Linked DNA regions of Diceros bicornis minor. The protein of the gene in region 2 interacts with the protein of the main gene of each other region in a biochemical or structural test. Links are inferred from orthologs where the notes say so. Each region holds a gene or a part of one and is shown on either strand. Other genes may lie near its edges.

Region 1 (10,692 bases), on a different chromosome or scaffold from region 2:
TCTACAAGGGGAGAAAGAGACAGAAAATAAAATGCTTCTGCGTTCAAACAGCAAGACAGACTGGAACGTCTCAATGCCCCAGCGGCTGAGTGAGATCTTCCTCTGTCTCTGCAGTTGCAAAGGAATAAATTAAAAAAAAAAAAAAAGCCTTAGAAGACATGTAGGGAAGGAGCAAGGGAAACGAGGGTTGCTGGGGGAGGGGGAGGGGGAAAAGAAGCTCTGCCTTCGAGTTTGCTTTCCAAGTCCTCCTTCCCTTTGATTGTCTTAACTGGGTAAGGAAGCAAACCGATGCTGAAATGCAGAGAGAAAAAGCAAAGAAACAAAAGCGAAGGCAGGGGCGACAGGCCCGGGGCAGGGGGCCCGGCAGGGGCGGGCTGTGCAGAAAGTGAAGTTGGGCGCCGGGAGTCGGAGGCACAAAGCGAGCAGCGTGCTGGCTGCAGGCTCCGGCCGTGCTCGCTGCGAACACGTGCAGCGGCGGCCGTGGGACCGGGGGCCAGGGGCCCGGGGGCGGCGGGCAGCCAGGAGCCCGGACTGCCGCCTCCACTCCCATCCGGCCTGGCCGCAGGGTGACCACGGTTCCCTGAGCCCGCCAGTTGGAGAAACGGAAAGTGAGGCTTGGAAAACTCGGCTGGTTAACCTGGTGCGGTCTCAGTATCACCGCACACACCTCAAGCGCGGCTCCTGAAATTCACTCTGTGTCCACAGGCTCACACTTTTTACTTTGGGGGATCTCTACAAATGCGTTTCTCCCGAAATTCCGCACACCGGTGTGCGCAGCGCGGCGGCGGCTGCGGTTATTCATTATTAATGACCCTGTTTGCCCGCATCATTAGGATGATAACTATTACTATTGTTGTGATTTCGGGCTCCGAGGCGAGAGCTACAGGAGGCGGGGGAGCCGAGAGTCAGGCTGCAGAGCCGCCCTGCAAGCCTGCCGTGGCCGCCGTGGTCCGTGATTTGCGCGGGGATGAGGGGGTGGAAGAAGTGAACCTGGAGACTAAGTGCAAACTTGCCGATCCCGCCCTTTGGCCTCGCCCCAAAGACGGAGAGCGCGCACTCCCCTTTCCTCCCTACCAAAAATGCACGCCCCAAAAGAAAGCGAAAACTGCACGCCGCTCCGCGGCTGAAGCACGGAGGTGTCCGCCGCGCTCCCGGGTGCTTCTCTGCTGCCCTAGCCAGAGCATTTTTAAAGTCAAAATGAAGAACAAAGACATAAGGGGTGATGGGGGGAGAAAGGGAATTCTGCCTAACCGTCCGTTTCCCCCACCCCCACGCTCGCAATGCTGTCCCTCCCCGGCCGAGAAACGCAGAGCAGGGGGTGGGGGAAGCTCTGGTACAGGTTCAAGTTCGCTGAGCTTTCTTGATCTTGTTCTGCCTCCTAGCGACCAAATGGCTCATTCATCCCAAGAAGCGGAGGATGGGGGGTGAGGGGGTCCTGAAGACTGGAATGGCTCCCGCCCCCTCTGTGCACCCAGAAAATGAGAAAGGAGCGACCCCGCAACCTCTCCAAACCGGCCCCTTAACACAAAGCCCTCACTGAAACCGGGGGAGAGGGGCTAACCCACCCAGACTGGAGTGTCCCGAGATAGACCCCGGGATGGGGGCGGGGGGGTCGGGGAGCAGCCTGGACTGCAAGCCTGTCTGTCCTTTGAGCCCCCAATGCATCCTTCCGAAGAAGGGCCCGGCTTTCCCGAGTCCTGCGAACACTGCCCATCCTTCCCGCCGGTACCTGGCCGGGCTGTAACTTCACACCGCTGCGCGCCGCGTCTGCTCCGCATCCGGCGCGGCCGGGGGAGTGGGGGGCGGGGGAGAGCGGCGAGGGAGGGATGCGCGGGGGTGGGGAGAGGGAGGGCCCCGCAACGTGCCGGGGCGGGGGAACTTCCGAAGTGTGTGACAAGTTCCAGGTCTCAGTGAAAAATTCAATTCTCTGTGCGCACTCCCCACCCCTTTAAAAAATACAGAACTGGGTATAGGTGGTCCTTTAAAATTGCATCAAAAATTAAAATAAGGGTCATGAATGAGGTGGGGAAAGGATGTGGGCCCTCTCACGCTTTTCTTTCTCTTGCTGCCAAACTTTCCTAAGTGCCCACTGTCCACCTTTCCAGGCGCACTCTGTTAGCCAGGAGACAGTCACACACACCCCCTTATATAGATTCACAAGGAGCCCCCCCACCCCGACTGAGCCAGGCCCCGGGTGGAGGGCAAGAACTCAAGGTGGGGTGCGCAGAGTCCCGGGATTTAGCATTCCCAAAACGCATACTAGAACGTACTACTCCCCTGCCCACTCCCCCACACACAGCTCTCCCCCCACCTGGCCTGGCTGCGCTCGGGAGTCGGGGGCTGGTGGCAAGGCCGGGTGGGAGGGGGGCAGGGAAAGCACGTGGTGACCTCCCCGCAGTCCTGAGCTGTGGACAAGAATCCGGGGGAGCGGAGAGGGGGGGGCGCAGAACACGCTTTTTCAGTTGCTTTGCAAAATAAAAATGCTTTGCAAAGCCGAGTTTCTCCCCAGCCGACTTCGCAGTCGGGTTGGCGGGGAGGAGGTCTGGGCATTGTGCTGTGGGCGAGAGGGAACCATGGACCCGGCTGGCGCGGAGTCGCGGCACGGCCTGCTGCTGTGCCGGCGGGCGGGCGCCGGGCGCCGAGTGGGCGATCCCGGGCGGGGCGGGGGCGCGGCGAGGCCCCGGCGAGGCCCGGCCGCCGCCGCCGCCCGCTCCCGGGCTGCCGCGCCGCGCTCGGTCCTCTGTCTGTTTGTTGGCAGCAGGCTCCCGCACACGCGGTGCTTGTAAACATTCAGACACGAGATTTTTCCCAATCAAAATCCACTTCCACTTTTTTTGAAAATCTTCCAAAAAATAGTAAGAGGAGGGAGTTCCTCGCTCCCTCTCCGTGCCGCCGGCGCTCTAAGTTTGCAACTAAAAGGGTTTTGGGGAAGGGGGTAATCGTATTTTTTTTTAACTCCGGTAGAGATTGTGAGATTTTTGCAGGGGGGGTGGGGGACTCAAAAAGGAGAGCGTTGCAGAAAACCGCCGGAGGAGCGTTTGGCTTCTGGTTTGGGGCAAGAAATTTTACCTTCTCTTGCCTTGTTTTATTTTTATTTTATTTTATTTTGCACTTCTTCTCGCCGCCACTGAGGTTCGGCCGGGAGGGGCAGGCAGCCGCAACCCGGGCGGCGGCGGCCCAGGCGCCCTCCCTCCCTCTCCCGCTCGCCCCCGGCCCTTGCTCCTGCCCTTCGGCGGCGGCGGCGCGGGAGGGCAAGCGCGAGGAGCCGGCACAAAAGGCAGCGGGACAAACACCCACCTCAGGCCGGAACAAAAGGCGGCAGCGCCGGCCGCGTCTCCCGTCCTTCGCGGTCGCCCGGCTCTCCCTGCCGCCGCGGCACCTCTCCAGACTCGGCGGACTCCAGAGCGCCGGGGGCCCCCTCCCACAATCCCACTTTCTCACTATTGTGGAGATGACTACTTTCTCCCAGTGCACACTTGACCGTGAGCGCGCTCGTGTCCGAGGGCCAGTCTCACCTCTTTTCTCCCTGGAAATTGTTTTTTAGGCTTGGGCTCCCTGCTCCCCCACTCCCCGTTTTCCTTCCTTCGTCGAGTGGAAGCAACCCCCCTTTCCCCTCCAGGTCCCTCCCCCAGGTTTGCAGGAGAGTTGTTCGCATCCATAGCATTGTTCATTATTTTGCAAAATTGGAGGGGAAATCATTGCATTCCTTTCCGAAAAGCGAAATAAAGCAGCGGAAAGCAAGAAAGAGGAGGAGTCAAATTTTTGTAAAATTAAATAAAATTAAAAGGTGCGTGCAATTCCAAAGTGTACATACGGCTATGGTTCGGGATGGGATGAGGTTTGGGGGTTTTTTTTTCCTCCCTTTAATCTCTTTTATCCCGACTCTCGGAGGTTTTTCTCCTGAAAAATTTTTTAAATGCATGCACACACCCCTCTCTCCCCCTCGCTCTTGCTTCTCGTCCTGCGCGCTCTCGTGATTATTAATAATTATTATTACTATTATTGGGTTACTTACGCGAGAATTCCCGTTTGCTTAAGTGCTGGGGTTTGCCTTGCTTGCGGCGAGACATGGTGGGCTGCGGGGCGGGCGGCGGCGGCGGCGGCGGCGGCGGGCGGACGACGGCTCGGTTCACATCGGGAGAGCCGGGTTAGAAAGAAGGAGACTCCAGAGAAAATATCTTCATCAGTGCCTTTTGACATCCAAAATAAATTAGAAATAATACAAAGATGGCGCAGGGAAGATGAATTGTGGGAGAGCCGTCATGGCTTTTTTTTAAGCAAAAAAAAAAAAGAGAGAGGAAAGATAGAGGGAGAGAGAGAGAGAGAGATGAAAAAAATGGCAAAAGCCCCCCTGAGCTGCAAGTTCAAGTGCGGACGTGACGTCCCTGCGAACTTGAACGTCAGGAGTCTGGATGGACAGAGACACACAAAACATGGGCAGGGCGAGCAGGAGAGAAGGGGAGGAGGGAAGGGGAAGCTCACACCAATGGACACACATCAGGGGCTGGACATGAAAAAGAGACCAGGACAAGCCAATGGCCAGTGCGGGGCGGGGGAGGTGCGGGGCGGGGGGCTCTGCAGACGCCAGACGCGGCCCCCGGGGGAGGGGCGGGCGGAGGGGAGGGGGCGCTGGGGCCGCGGGCTCACCAGTGGCCGCAGCGAGCGCAGAGGCGGCGGCGTGGCGGGGAGAAAAGAAAGGGGCAGCGAGGGTGGGGGGAGCAAGATGTGCACCCTGCACCACCACCCCCGCACGCCAACCCTAAAATGAAAGATTATTTAAAAAAAAAAAAAGGCAAGAGCGTACAGGGAGGCTGCAGCCCCGGGCCGGGGAAGCGCGGGCGGAGGGAAGCCAGGTAGAGTTGCTCCCGGACACCCTCCTCCTTGCGCACACCCACTTCCCCTCACCGCCGCCGCGGCCGCGCTCGCTCCCCGCGTGCGGCCGCCGGGGCCGAAGTGAAAGCCTTGAGCCCGCGGCTGCGCTCCGGAAACTTTGCCCGAGGAGAGGCTAGCAAAGAAAAATCACCCGAAGTTGAGAGCGGAGCCTCCAAGTTACAGCTCCGCCGCGGGTGAGGGGAGGCGGGAGGGAGCGCGCGGCTAAGCGGAGTCCAGCCCAAGTTTGGAGGGTTGGGGTCCGGAAGGGCAGCGCCGGGGCCTCCTGGAGCCCGGGCGGCCTGGAGAGAGGGGGCGAAGGCGAGGGAAGCGGTGCAGGCCCGAGCGGGAGGGCCGAGAGGGCGCCCCCAATGCCGAGCCGGGGGGCCGGGGATCTGAGCGCCCCAACAAGCGATTGGGTCTGAATGCAACTGGAAGCACAGAGTCGAGGCTCCCAAGGGTCGCAGAAAGAGAGAGAGGCCAAGGAATACAGAAACGAGGAGCCAGACCCGGGGCACTCGGAGGGGAGCGCCAGGGCCCGAGGCGAAGGAGGCGCCGAGGCGTCCACCTCACCGAGGGACCGCGGGCCAGAGGACAAAGCACGGGCAGTCCTGGGAGTTCCAGTCCCTGGGAACGTGCTCCCGGCGCTGCGGGAGGTCCCCGAGCCGGGTCCCAGGGAAGGACACACCCCCTCCCACTCCTAAGCAACTGCAAACGCGCAGAGGAATGGAAAGAAAATGTTTCTTACTGGTAGAGCACAACTATTACTGTGCTGTTACGTGGGGAAAGAAAATGGGGAATGGAGAGAACGCGACTGGCTCGCAGGAGCAGCGGGGAGGCCACGGTGGTGGGGTGACCGCCCTGGGTCAGCGCCGCGCTCCCCAGGCGCCCCGGGTCAAGGCGCCCACTCTGGAGCCCGAAGCCTCCCCTAGCCTTTCCGCAGAGGTTCGCGGGAAATTAGGGAAGACCTGTTGGAAATAAACCCCTGTCTCTTTAATGCACACACGCGCGCACACACACACGCTGCCGCTGTCAAAAAGCGGGCTTCACTCTGGCGTGGGATACTTTCAGTTTTACGTAAAATGTACAGCAACAGCACCCCCTGCGATTGGAAAGTTTATTCAGAAACGTGCCTGCAAAGTCCCCCGGCGTCTCCCGCCTCCCAGCCTCCCTGCCTGCCTGCACCACCCTGTAGCCTCAGCCGCCACCACCGCCGCCGAGACCACGCTGCGATTCCAAATCCGGAAGGGCAGGGGGGAGAGGAAAACGGACTCAAGTCCAAGGGAGGAGCGGAGGGTGCAGGGTGGAGGCGGGTCGCCGCGGCCCGCGAGACTCCGAGCTGCAGGTGGACGTGTGTGAGTGTGTGTCTGCAGAGCGAGGAGCCTTCCTTCCCTCTCCTCCAAGCGGCTCCACAACCCCTCGTGTCTTCTCTTCCCCCTCCTCAGTCTAAGGGACCTCTTTTTCGTAAATTCACCCACCGGGCGGGGGGCTTTATTGTCTTAAGCGAGGGCCCCGGCTTGCACGCGCGCACCCACCTCCCAGCCGCGCCGGCAAGCGGCTGTTTATTCATGTGTTGTCTTAGTAAAGTTTCAAGCCTATTAGAAAATGACTGGCTTGCCTGGCTCGGCGAAGCTTCGGGCCCCTCTAAGTAAGAAAAGGAGGTTTTGATGCTCAGCGTTAGGAGAGATGTGGGCTGAACTGGGTTTGTGTAAATGTGGTTTGTTGTTATTGTTTCCCTCCAGTTTAAGGGGGGGGGACTCAAATCCTGTTTAAGAGGCAGGAAGATGCACTTGCAGTAAAGCTCTGTAGCTTGTGCGTTGCACCATTTCCCCTTTTTCATGAGTTCTTCAGAGCAGGTCAGCATCTCTCTTCCACTACCGTCTATTTTTTTGTCTTGTTAAACTAGCCTTAGAGTGACCAAAAGAATGTCATTGCGGGGGGTGGGGGGGCTGGCGGGGGGGGGGCGGGGGATGAGACTTGGAGGAGAATGGTTGGAGGAAAGGTGAAGAGAGAGAAGAAAGTGCAACTGGGAGGCCTTTGAAAAATAAATAAATAAAACAAAAGCCCCTTCAGGTAACAATAGTAAGTCAGATTCTTTCAGAACTGAGCTTTTCAAATTTAAATATTTTTCCCATCCATCCATAAAAGTCCATATATAGAGAAGGTGTATAAATGGGCGAATGTGTGTTGTGGAAATATATATGTATGATTTATATACAATGGTGTGTATAAAGCTTTTCAGAGTTGGCTGTAGTGTAAAAAGTAATGACTTTATTACCTCTGAAAGGTTCTGTGGTTCACATTTAACAGTCTTCTGAATTACAATTCATTACACAATTGTGTGCTCTCTAAAACCGGCACCCTATCAGGGCCGCTATCTGTGGTTATTTCCAATAAATAACTGGCAACATTTTATTGATTTTCTTTTTTAAAAAATCATAGGAAATTAAGCACTTAGTTACAAGTAGGTCTGCTATGTTATTGCACTTGTTTCAGATTCCAGGGGGTTCCTTCCAAAACCACATCTTAAAACACACATTAAAAACTCAGTTTTGCAGCTGCTTTCCCCGGGTGCCAATGCCGAGGTACGCAGCGACGTTTCCACCATTAACATATATTTAATTTCACCATCATAAAATGCCCAGAGTGAAATAGTAGCTGCCCTCCGCTCACGCCCCTCCCCCAGCCTGATTTCACCCAGTCCAGAAAACCAGGGCTGTGTATCGGCATTTGATCCTCCTGCTCCGGGACCCCCACTCCCGGTCCCTCGTGCTCGCCCCTACGAGCGACGCCCCCTCCCTCATTGCTGCTGGATGCTCGCTAAAGCGCCCCAAAGTGGGGGAGGGGGAGGGTTTGTACGTGTGTTTAAAGAAATAAAAATATGTTGTTTTAAGAGGCTTAAAATATTACATAAGTATTGATTAATGATGCAGGTGGTTTTGTCGAGGGGTGAAAGGTCACTTTAAACGCGCACACTTGGATACACAATAAGTATATTTACCTTTCCAAAAGTGGCTTTTAGAAAGTAATAAATTATGACAGCGTTAAAATTTTCTGGCCGTTCAGTTAACTTCATTTGGAGCTGTCGAACCTTGGCTGATTCCACTGAAGGGGTAATTACGCTCGGTGGGCTCTTTCCCCAACCTTTAGTGACGACACTGCGTGTAAACTCCAGGCCGACAGACGACCCCTCCCCTCCCCTCCTCCCCCTTTTTATCTTGCCCGCGGAGGAGACTCCCCAGGACTTCCTGCAGTATGTATTCTGCCTCTGATCTCCGTACTTAATAGCCAAGTCCTGGTTTATGCTTTATAATGTGTTGACAAGTTTTCTAACAGACTTTCTGAAATAATGCACATATATTCACGTCGGTTAGAAACCCACCGTATTTTTAGAGTCGAGTAGATCTATACCCTAATGCAGTGAGAGAGTGTAAATCATAGAGGATTTCATAGTCCTTTCAGTAGTTTTCGGTATGAAGTATGAGCCGCGTGGCCTCCAGACGTAACCTTTTCGAAAAAAAGACAGTGCTTTTATTTTATGGTGTAAAGTGCTTTTAGCTCCAGGGCTCTGAACGTGAATGTGGTCAACAAACAGCTCCAGGAAGGAGACTTCACACAGTCCCAGCCCTCGAGCCGAGGATCGCCTGGCGCGGGGACTCGGGCTGAGCAGGAGAAGGAAGGGTTAAAAGGTCTGTCTCGATGGAAACTACAAGATTAAAATAAAATATTCACTGTCTGCCTTTAGGGGGAAACACCTTGATAGACTTAAAGATAAATAAATGAATGACTGAATGAATGGTTAAAAATACAATCGGTCCCACCTCGCTTTTTACCTCATTCTTCTCTCTCTCTTTTTTTTTTTTTTTCTTTTTTTTGCCTAATAGCAGTTCAGAAAATAGAGAATGGGCAGTCATCTTCATAAAAATAAAACTTAGGTTTCGATTCTACCCTTGGCATAGGTTTTGCATCTGGGGTTCTTGGGGATGGGAGCGCTAGGGTGCCATTAAGACAAAGGAAAAATCGGTTTAAAAAGCAAGAAGAGTTGTGTGTGAGGAAGGAGGTGGGCTTTATGGGGGCACCCTAAATTGAAAGGTGAGCAGAAGGGCCACCATCACCTCTTCTCCCCAGCCTCCCTCAGTCCCCACCCCCATAGCCTTTCTTCCTCCTCTACTCCAGGTGTGATCCAGAGCCTGGAACCTAAGGAGGCCCCTGGAGGGCAGTGTCCACACCTTCTGCAAAGGCACAGACATCCCCCAGGGAGGTTCCTGGGGGTAACAGTTAGTCTGGCATTTCTTCAGAGGCTCCCTGGGCCTTTGGCTACCTGGCAGGCTACTTGACATACCTGGATGGACCTGTCCAAAAAAAAAAAGAAGGAAGGAGAGAGGGAGGGAGGGAGGGGGTAAAGGAGGGAAGAAAAAAGGAAGGAAAAAGCTGAATCTGCTCTAAACAAGTCTATGTTTGCCTATAGACTGGGCTGCTGTGTGCTGAGTCAACAATGTATGGGGAAGGGGGCAGCAGTAGTCTCACTATTTAAATCAGAGGCCCCTTTGAAAACAACAAGGAGTTCTGGTTAGAACACTGCTAGGTGAAATCATTTAGCATTGACATCAAAGACACATAGGTGCTGGGCAATGACACCAGCCCAATGTACTGTGTTAGCAACATCCTAGTGCGATACTCAGCACACAGGAGATGCTTAATAAATGGTTTTTGAGTGAATAATTCCTATCACCACATAAATGAAACCAACAAAACCATCCAAATTCTATTAGTTTCCTCTAGAGACCAGTAAGGCTTTGATCAGGCAACCCTATTATAAGAGTGCATTTTAGCCTAAAAGTGATTCCCACCAAGGAAGGTGAGCTCAAAAAGATTATCCCAAATATCAGAGCAGCTGAATAATTAAGAATACTATGCAAGATATTTTCATCATCTCTAGCAGCCTACATTACCAAATATCTTCCAAGTAAACTAGTATCAAGAATCCAATATCAAGAGATTCATTTCTTTAACAGTGCTTTTTGGATATGTACAAATCTGGTTTCCCAAATGAGAGCACTTCTAAAGGAAGAAATACAATAGGAACAACCAAAAATAAAAAATATCTCAAACTTCATTCTCTGTGCCCCTCTATCATGAATCTTTTGCTTTTAACAAGGGAATAATTTTTTCAATACAAATGTTTTACACTCAATCTTAAAAACAAATAAACAAAACAACAAGCAAAAACAAACAAAACAAAAACAAATAAAAACTATTTGCCTCTTTTTGGGGGGGGTGTAAATAAAAGGAAAAGCAACACAACACACACACACACACACACACACATCTGGTCTGACATTTTATACAGCAAGTTTCAGCCCAATGTGATTTAAAACAATGTGAGTAAAAACCTCTTAAAATTTGGGTTTATAATGGAAACGCTGACAGACTCTTAATTATAGCAGCCCTGCCAGACACTGCTATAATGAAATAGTGGTGCTTTCATTACTATAGAGGCACTATAGTTAAGGGTCTGTCAGTGTTTCTATTATAAACCCCAAGTTTAAGAGGTTTATAACTTCGGCTATTTAAATGGCACTGGGTGGAATTCAAGTTATCAGTCCAGATGTGAAGTTGTTTTATAAAAGACAGAATAACTCAGCTGAGGAAGCTTTTGGAGATCTCTTTCTCTCTCTCCCCCCACCCCACCCCCTCTCTCTCTCCCTCCTTCCCTCTCTCCCTCCTTTCTCCCCTCCCTCCCTTCCTTACAGAACATCACAGAAATGATTTTTAGTGGTTTCAGATGGTCTTATTGCCAACTTCTAGCTATGACTTCACTGT
Region 2 (9,540 bases):
CCCTGTTCCCCACCAGCCTTCTCTCTGGCTTTGTTTATATTTCCCCCCATTACCTGCTGTCCCGGGTGTTTATATGTTTCCCTCTTGCAGGTTACAATAATAAAAGGCGAGCAGTGTTCTCAGAGGCTCAGACCAGAGCCTTCAAAGGCAACGTTAATGCACTTTCCTGGAAGTTAATTTGAACCATCTATCACAAGAGAAATTGTTAACATGCATGTTACCACCGCCTACATTTAATTTGATATTTTTAAGGCACTCGGTTAAATTTTCAACGTTCGTATGTTTTGCATGGCTATGAGATTTATCTCCGGGGCGGGAATCCTCCCATACTTGCGGGTTCTACAGTATTGCTTTTGTTTTTTATCTTTCTTGTTTAGATCGAATCCATTTTTTACGACCCTCAATAACCTCGGCAACTGCAAACATGAATGGTTTCCGATAAGGGAAAATCAGGCAGCAATAAAGCGGGATTATTTATGATTTATTTGCGCGTATTCTTCTCTTTCCACCTCTCTGTGTGTCTCTCTGTGTCGGGAAACTCATCCAGGGAGCGTGCCACACAGAGGAGAAAGCCACATTCCCACGTTCTCTTCCTTCCCTCTCCTCCCACAGAAACGCTAAGCTCTGGCACACACACACGCACACGCACACCGCACACACATACACACCGCACACGCGAGCAGCCAGACGGATCCATCGCACCGCCTCCGCCCCCAGCAGACGCGCGCCCGCCGCCGCGGCCCCGCGCGGGGGCCAGGTCGCCAGGCCGGGCCGCCCGCCGCCCGCATCCGCGCCGGCCCGGCTCCCGCACGGCCGCGCTCCCAAGATGGCAGCGGCGCCGCCGGCCGCGGCCCTGCGCGGGGGCCGCGGGGTCGGCCAGGCCCGAGGGCCGGCGAGGGCCGGCCGGGGCGGCGGCGCGGCGGGGCGCAGGAGGCCGGGTCCAGGCGCAGCGGGGCCTGCGGTCGCTCCCGGCGCGGCCTGCCCTCCCAGCGAGCGCAGCCTCACCTGACGTGAACAGCACGATGGCTTTGAGGCAGCTGTACTCGGCCGAGTCGACGTGCAGCGCCTTGAGCTTCTCCACCTGCTCCTGGAAGATGCGGATGTGGTCCATGAAGGCCACGACGCGGTCTGCGGACATGGGCGAGGCGTGCAGGCCGGCGGCGGCCAGCAGCGGCGCCACGTGCAGCGGCATGGAGCACTGGGCCGCGTTGAGCACGAACAGCTCGCTCCAGGTGAGGCGAAGCAGGGACACCTGGTCGGTGATCTGCAGATCCGGGAAGAAGGGGATGTTGCGGGCCCACTCGACGGCGCTGAAGAGCAGGCGCGCGGCCAGCTCGCAGATGTTCTCGATGCCCATGATGTTGTTGGGCTGCATGCATTGGCTGCCGTAGCGCGACGTGGGGTAGGGCTCCGCGCGCAGCAGCAGCGAGATGTAGCCGGACAGGTAGCAGTGGCCGTTGAGGGGGTCCCCGTTGGTGAGTGCGTACTGGCCTGGATTGGGTTGGGTTGGAGGCATTCTTCCTCGCTGAACCGCTGACAAAAAGAAAGAGAGAAAAGAGGCAATGTGCATCCAGGGGGCTTGCGAACACCGCCGCGCCCGCAGAGCACCCGACACAATGCGGAGGCTCTTCCCGCAGCCACCGCATCTTCTCTCGTGCTCGCTCTCACTCGCAGCCCACCCTGGGGGGAAATCTGGGGTGAGGCCCTCCAGCTCCGCGGCTCCATGTGCCCAGCCATCGCCGGCGCCCCTGGCCACCCTAGCCCTGCCAGAACTAGGCCTGACTTCAAGGCCCCCAGCCCGACATGGGCAAGAAAGTGCCACCCAACCCCTCCACCACCAGGGAGTAACACACAGATTAATGAACTCCCACTCACCCCTCCAGAATGAAACAAATCAGGGTTAAAACAAAACAAAAGAAAACAAAAACAACCAGGCGAAACCAGAGAAAGCTTGTGATTCTAGGTAAATGCCTAGCTGCCTCTTCATTTGCAAGCAAGCAGCGTTTTGCTCAAAATGTTTCCATATTCTCTAAAAATGCTATAGAACTATCCTTAAAATAGTTCCAAGTTACATACCCTACTAACCACTTACAACTTTTGAACAGAAAACAAGTATCCTGCACCCCTCCCCTATCCCCACCTCCCCATCACACCACACTGAGTTCTCACTGTTAAAAGCAACAGAAAATTGAAAAATTTCAAGAAAAGAGTTGAACTTACAGTAGCCAAACATTATTGAAAAAAGTGGGAAATATAATTAATGTCTGTCCTGCGCGGTGCCACTGCAACCTGCAGCCAGCTTTTGCCCAGTGAATGCACGAGCTTGCAACTGCAAAAACACTGGATTCATTAACCATCTGAATGCAAAACGTAAGCATGCTTTGAGTTCTTAAAGCTGACCAAAGTTTTTTTTTTTTTTTTTTTAATGTGTATGTTTTACTTCAACAGTGCCAGCATTTTAAATTGCCATGTAAACAAAGACAACTTTAGGAAAAGTTAGGACTACTGAACTCTCCCCCCAACAAATTAATATAGATATGTCCATGTACACATAGCTGTCTTATTTCAGGTTGTGCACTTTTTTCTTAAGTTTGCTTTGATTCTAATTTTAATGCAAGCCCCAGTGCAATTTAAGCTCTTAAAACATAACAGCTAGAATACTTTTTTTCTAATTATAGTTTTGAACTTGGCAGTTATTTTTCAATTAAATGAGAGCACAATTCAAAGTTTTTTTTTTTTTTTTTTCCAGATGCCTACAAAATCTCCCTGGAGCTAGAAATGAAGTCGTCATATTTGCCTGCTCCCTGAGATCTGAAGGAATTCAATTTCTTTTCTGGTGGCATATAAAATATCATTTTAAAGTCAATTACAAGAAGGAGTAATCTGCATTCCGCAAAATTGACTGGCTTGCTAATTTGACTATAAGACATCTTTAATGATTGTCAGGAGATAAACTTTAACTGTAAACGGCTAAATATATTTATAAGAAAAGTGCTGCATCTCTTGCCACATGAACATGAAGCATATCTAAATACAACATCAAAAGTTGTGTTAAAAGACACCAAACCCATACAACACAGGGATTAAATGATGTGGAAGCTCATGCCAGCTGCAGTCTGTGCATTATAGCCAAATCAGAAGGATCGGTAAATGCCGTTGTAAATTGTAATTTGTATGCAGTATTTAAGCAGAGGGTGGAGTTTGATGAAGAAATAAAACGAGTATCATGCTTTAAAAAAAATGACACAACTATGAAAGCACAGTTCAGTCACAAACTTTCCTTTCAAAGTAGAGGGGTGAAAACAAGGCCACAGCTCGCTGAAGAGGAGAAGGAACCAGTGAACAGTCCAGAAGCCCCCCTTCCCCCCTAATTAGACCTACAAGTGCAATAAATCTCACTCCTTTTTTTTCCAAGCTAAGCTTCCAAAAGGATGATGCAGCAATGAATCTGTGGTTCAGGCTACTCCAGTACCCAGCCTTCCCCCATTTTAAAAAAAGGGTAAGAAGAGGTGGAGGAGAAAGTGGAATGAAAAAACACAGAAACAGAGTTTTCTGGGGGAAATAAGCACCCCTCCCCAACTTCATGCCAGCACAGCCCCAAGCATCCTGACGCACACGCAGAAAAGAGACACACACCGAGCACATCCAAGACAGAGGAAGGAAGGGGATTTGAAGCCACAGCTCACGATCCCAGGGACACAATCCTGAGCAGGCAGCGGGCGGGGTGGAGGAGCCGGGGAGAGGAGCGCAGGCCGGGAGGGGGAGGCAGCGGCAGCGAGCTTGGGGGGGGGGGGACGCCGGGGGAGGAAGGCAGCGGGGACAGGGGAAGCTGGGACGGCCCAGGACCGCAGGAGCCCCAGCCCCATACGGCACCCACCCCCACAAGAGAGAAAGAAAGAGGGCCGGGGAGGCGGGCGAAGCTCAGGGAGAGAAGCAGAGAAGAAATATTCACCTTCCCGCCTCATGCCCACTTTGAGGCACTTCTTGAGGCGGCAGTATTGGCACTGGTTGCGGTGGTGCTGGTCGATGGGACAGTTCCTGTTGGCACGGCATGTGTAAGTTAAGTTCCTGCGGACGCTCCTCTTGAAGAAACTTTTGCAGCCTTCGCAGGTGAATTGGCCATAGTGCTTGCCGCTCGACTTGTCCCCGCACACCACGCACTCGATGTGCTGCTGGCTCTGGCCCGAGCCGGGCGGGCCCTGGCCCTTGTCCCCTGCCGTGCCGGGGGTGGCGGGCGCTCCAGGCTGGCCCGGGGTCTGCGGCGTGTGCGGCGCGCCCGAGCCCGCCTGCTGCTGCTGCTCGCCGGCGCCGCCGCCGCCGCCGCGGGCCGCCTGCGCTGCGGGGTTGGGGCCGCCGGGGTTGCCCCCGGCCACGTCGTCCTGCGGATCTCGCCAGCTGCTAACTACCATTGCCATATCTTTGGGCCCGGGGAGCGCTGGGGGGAGCCGAGCTGCTCGCCGAGGGCCGCGGGGCGCGCGGGCGCGCTGGGAGGGGAAGGGGAAGGGGAAGGGGGGAGGGGGAGGGGGCGGGGGGCCCGCCGGGCGCCCCGGGGTCGCGGGAGCCGAGCCCGAGCCGGGGACCGGCCGCTGCCGCCGCCGCCGCCGCCGCCGCCGCCGCCGCTACTGCCTCGGCCGCCCCGCTGCTGCTGCGCGCCCGCCCGCCCTGCTGGCGTTTTGTTGTGGTTCCTGCTGTTTTCTTTCTCTCTTTTTGCAGCCCCCCCAGGCTCTCAGGCTCCCCCCCAACACCCCTGCTCCCCTTGCCCGCTCCCCCCGCGCTCCGATCCTGGGGGGGCCACGCTCTCCTTCCCCCCCTCCCCACCCCCCCCCAGCGAGCAAGCTCCCTTCTCTCGCTTTTTTCTTCTTCCCCAAGTTGCAAAATCAGAAATGGCACAGGCGGCAGCCGGGAGCGGCGCGGGGCGCAGCGCCGGGGGCGGCGGGCATGGGCCACGGCGCGCGCACACACTCGCCCTCCGCCTCGCCGGCACCCCCGCGCACACACACACTCGCACACACACTCGCTCACCCGCGCCGGGCGCCCGCCCGCCCGCCCGCCGCTCGGGCTACGCGCTGCGCGCCGGCTGAGCCGACATAGAGGAAGCCGGCGAGGGCGGCGGCGGCGGCGGCGGCGGAGGAGCTCTCGGCTGCAGGCGCCGCTGGAGCCGCCGCCTCAGCTGCAGCGGCGAGCGCCGCTGGAGGAGCTGGGGCCCGGGCCGGAGTCCGAGCAGGAGTCGGGGCCGCAGCCGGAGCGCGAGCCCGGGTCCGGGCCGCCGGCGCCGCCGCCGCTGTCCCGGCGGGAGCCCTCGCTGGGCTCGGGATTGAGGGGAGCGCGGTGAGCCGAGCAGGGCGCGGGGCGAGGCTGGCGGCGGCGATCAAGGCGCGCTGGTATCGGGGGGCCAGGTCCAGGGCCGGACGCAGCCAGCCATTCAGGAAGGCAGCGCTGGAGAGCGGGAGGCAGCCGGCGAGGAGGATCACACACTTTGCTCTTTTTGTTGTGCCGGTGGCGCCGGGCTCTCGCTGCCTTCTTCTTTCGGGAGGTGACGGAGGGGGAGAAAAATACGAGATAATTCACGTCGGCGACGAATTCACAGCGAAATAGAAAAAATAAAAATCAGAAGAAAAAGAATTGCAAAAAAAAAAAAAAAAAAAAGCGAGAGAGACATCCAAAGTAGGTCGAATAAATAATCCTCTTCTTTTCCTCTTTCTTGCTCCTTCTTCTGCTTCTTCTGCTATAACACACAGAGCTAGTTAAAAAAACCCTGGAGATCGCCCAAAAATGTTCTTTTTTTAGTATTTTAAATAAGTGCTCTTCAGCCGGGAACCAACACCCTCCCTCCCCCCAAAAATCATATATGTATAAAATAACGATAAGAAGAATACGAAGGGGGTGCCTCCTCCTTTTTTTTTTTTTTTTTTTAAGTTGAGCCCTCTCTCTTCTGCAGGAATGGAGTAAGAGAGACAAGGAGGAGGGAGAAAAAGGAGAGAAAGAAGAATACGGGGGAAACAACTAATAGAATATATAAGAAAAGAGAAAGGGGGAGAGAGGAGAGAGGGGAAGAGAAGAGAGAGAGAGAGATTGAGAGAGAGAGAAAGGCGGAGGAGGAGAAAGAGAGAGAGTGAGAGAGAGAGAGAGAAGAGAGAGAGACCCCAAAATTGAATGCGTTTAAACGGGAGGACTCGCAGAGCAATGTTTCCGAAAAGGGGATCTGCGCGAATGTCTGTATATAGTGAACTTTGACACTACTATTGAAACTGACACGTTTCTATGGAGATCGCTGCCTTATATGGAGCTCGTGTCAAGGAGCCAAGAGAAGGGCTGCTGGCAACTGATAATCAAAGGCGACTGACTGGTCAGAGCCCTGAATCGGGGGGAGAGAAAACGGGAGGCTAAGGTTAGCCAAGCCTCCCGCACGCCATTGGTTGGAGAGCCCCTCCCCCTCCTCTTTTTCTTTCTTTCTTTTTTTTTCCCCTCCCTCTTAGCTACCTACTGACGGGGAAGGCGAGGGGAGGAGGAGAGAAAGTGAGGGAGGGGGGTGTGCTTCTGACAAGCGCAATTTACATTGAGATCGCCCTGCGCTGCTATTTACTCTGAGACCTGATTAGTATGGGTCGTCTGTGGTCACACACACACACACACACACACACACACACACACGCACACACACTCTCCCCAGAGGGGGAAGGGATGGCTAGGGGGAGAACGCTTTGCAATGGGTAAAAAGAGAATTAGAAGGAAATTATTTTGATCTCTTCTGAAAAGTTTTTAACATTAGGTTTTATGAGCATGAAGAGAGTGTCATTGAAAATGTTAGGAAAAATTTTAATGGGAATTAAACTCTCACCATGTTAATGATTCGTGAAATATACTGGGTTTGAACTGTTTTCTTCTTTCACATATAAGCGCAATCCAAGTGTGGATTCTGCTCATTTTATATCCTTTTAAGAAACAGGGTAAGGAGTTCCTATTTTTTAGTCTAAAGTGTATCTTGGTTTTAAAGGTTTAATTATGACAAAACACACTCCTGGAATTTGCAGCTATTGCCAGAAAATCAATCTGAATCAACCGTTCCTATTCATCCCAAAGATGATTTTAAAAATAAACTTTCCAATCAATCCGATTTTTTCTTCTTTCTTTTTTCCCCCTTTGGTAACCTCAGGCTATTCCAAATTCCAAACAACGCTTCCATAATTATTAATAAAACAGTAGTAAGTTGGGGGGGGGGTGTGTGTTAGTGCGGCCACGTCAAAGTCCCAGGAAAAGAGAAAAGGGGCGAGCCAATAAGAAGGGAAGAAGATGGGAGATGGGGCAAGGTGCGGATGAGGAGGGAGGGGGGAGGGGAGAGAGAGGCAGGAGGGAGAGGGAGAGAGAAAGAGGGAGGGAGAGAGAGAGAGAGAGGGAGGGAGGGAGAGAAGGGGGGAGAGAAAGAGAGAGAGAGGGAGAGAGAGAAAGACCCCGATTCCCGAAGGCGATTGGTCGCAGGAGGAGGGGCGGGCGTGAGGAGCGGATCCCGCCGCGGGGCCCGCAGGAATCGCTGGCTCCGGCTGCCACCTAGCGGACGGGAGCCGCGCCCGGGAGGCGCACGGCCGGGTCCCTCCTCCCCTCCCTGCAGGCAGCCTGTGCCTTTTCTCCAAACGAAGACAGCACTTTGAAAATTCTTTCAATGGATTTTTTCCTTGAAAGATCGTACTGGGGGAAAACGATACTTCTATTAGTTACATATTCTCCAATCGCACACTCGCACCCCCCTCGTTTTGAGATCGCTCCCCTAGGCAGGCTCAGGCGGGCGCGGAGCGGCGCGGAGTGACAAAGCCGCCGCTGCCGCCGCCGGGGGTGGGAGCCACGCTCGCCCGCCCGCCCCTCGACTCGGGAGAGCGTAAAAGTTTGTCTCAGCTCCAGCATCCCCAGCCTCAACACGCCCTCAGGTAAAGGTGGGAGTATATGGCCACGCTGTATTGACAGAGGTAGGGTTTGTTTTTTAATACTACTCGTTCTCACTTTAAATTTCACCAGGGAGGGGTTTGGGAAGCGCTGCGTGTTTGGGGTGCGTTTTGCGCTTCCCGGTCTCTCCAGCCTGCAAGCCGGGAGTCAGCGACCGCTTAGTGACGAGCGACGATTTTAAAGAGAATAAAGGCTTTTCTGTGCCTGCCCCGCAGCCCCTCCAGCTCGAATAATGGAGAGACAGTCAATGCACTCTGCAAGCGGCGGCCCATTGTACGCAGCTGATGGAGAGGAGGCGACTGGGGCCGGCAGGGGCTCCTTGCCCTCGCCCTTCTCCCCAAATAAACGCGCGCCATGTCTCCTGGTCCGTTAAAAGGTGAAACGAACATGATTTAAAGACCAAAAAAAAAAAAAAAAAAAAAAAGGAAAAGAAAATGAACAAGCTTTCTATATATAAATTCTAAATTTTACTCCCCATACAGTACAGAGGCAGGCAGTGGAGGGCAGAGGAAGCAGGCAGAGAGAGGGAGACAGGGAGAAGGAAAGAGAACGTGGAGAGAGACGGAGCGAGTGGAAGAGGAGGCGAGAGCGAGCGCCAGGGAACCGGAGGCCCGCTGGACGCCCGGTCCGCGGGCCCAGCAGCCCTCGGACCCTGGACCGTGAGTCATGGGCACCAGAAACGAGATTCGGCCAAGTCTTGTCCCACCAGGCAAGTGGTTATCATTTCTTTTGAACTCGGGGTTGGTAACGCGGACCGGCCGGGAGGCAGCCTTGGCTCGCATGGCCTCTGCAGGCCGGGGCCGGAGTCAGGGAGCCCGGGCCAGACTAGGAGAACTTTCCGCGGGGCCTGCTCCGGAGCTGCTCTCCTGCGGCCTCTGTCCCGCTGCGGCGCGGAGGCGGGGATCGCGGCCGCCGCGCCGCCCCGGGGCTGAGATCTTGCCCGCGGAGCGTCAGTCCAAATTCAAAACAGGTCTCCCCCACCCCCACCCTCGTCCCCCGCCCCTGGCGGGAAACGGCTGCGGGGCCTCCAGCGCAGGGGCGGAGGACGGGGGAGGTGGATCCGCAGGTTTAGCACCCGCACCGCCGCCGCCCGCGGTGCCGAGGCCGAGCCGCGCGGGAGCCCGCTGCGGAGTCCGGCCGGGCTGGCCCTGCTGCCCGCGCCTCGCCTGCCTGCAGCCAGGGCCTGGCGAGCTCGGCTCCTGCCGCCCACCTGCAGGCGCGGCTTGTAACGAGATACCCTAGCGTAACGCGATCGATGGCTGCTTGTTTGATGTGGGCGATAGTGTCAGCGGATTAAAAGGGACACCAAGCCGCTCTCTCCAGCGGAGAACCTGCGGCGGCGACGGCGGCGGCGAGAGAGCGCCAGATCCGCAGGCCAGCCAGACTCAACAGGGCTGGGGGCGGCGGGTGTCACCTCCCAGGGGTGGGGACCGAGGGGGTGTGTGTGAAAGGAAGAGCCTCAATTAAAACCAACGAGAGCGCTTTCCTCCGCGCTGGGCAGGGGCGCGCGTTTGCGTCAGAGGGCGCGCAGGGCGGGCGCGGGGGTGGGGGGAGCCGACGCCCGAGGCCGCCCCGGGGCTGGGTGGGCGCGAGAACGAGCCAGCA

Evidence for each region. The genes of interacting proteins can lie anywhere in the genome.
Region 1: the proteins of NR2F1 (region 2) and BCL11A form a complex in vitro, tested with the Homo sapiens proteins (2 studies listed by BioGRID). The link is inferred for Diceros bicornis minor from reciprocal best matches to the Homo sapiens genes NR2F1 and BCL11A.

The regions. Positions count from the first base shown.
Region 1 is NC_080751.1:26,589,373-26,600,064, reverse strand, and holds the start of BCL11A (B-cell lymphoma/leukemia 11A), read right to left. Parts: upstream 4,399-10,692; 5' UTR 4,071-4,398; coding exon 4,016-4,070; intron 1-4,015. UniProt on the Homo sapiens protein: Transcription factor. Associated with the BAF SWI/SNF chromatin remodeling complex. Binds to the 5'-TGACCA-3' sequence motif in regulatory regions of target genes, including a distal promoter of the HBG1 hemoglobin subunit gamma-1 gene.
Region 2 is NC_080740.1:19,650,309-19,659,848, reverse strand, and holds the start of NR2F1 (COUP transcription factor 1), read right to left. Parts: upstream 4,416-9,540; coding exon 3,953-4,415; intron 1,534-3,952; coding exon 1,006-1,533; intron 1-1,005. UniProt on the Homo sapiens protein: Coup (chicken ovalbumin upstream promoter) transcription factor binds to the ovalbumin promoter and, in conjunction with another protein (S300-II) stimulates initiation of transcription. Binds to both direct repeats and palindromes of the 5'-AGGTCA-3' motif.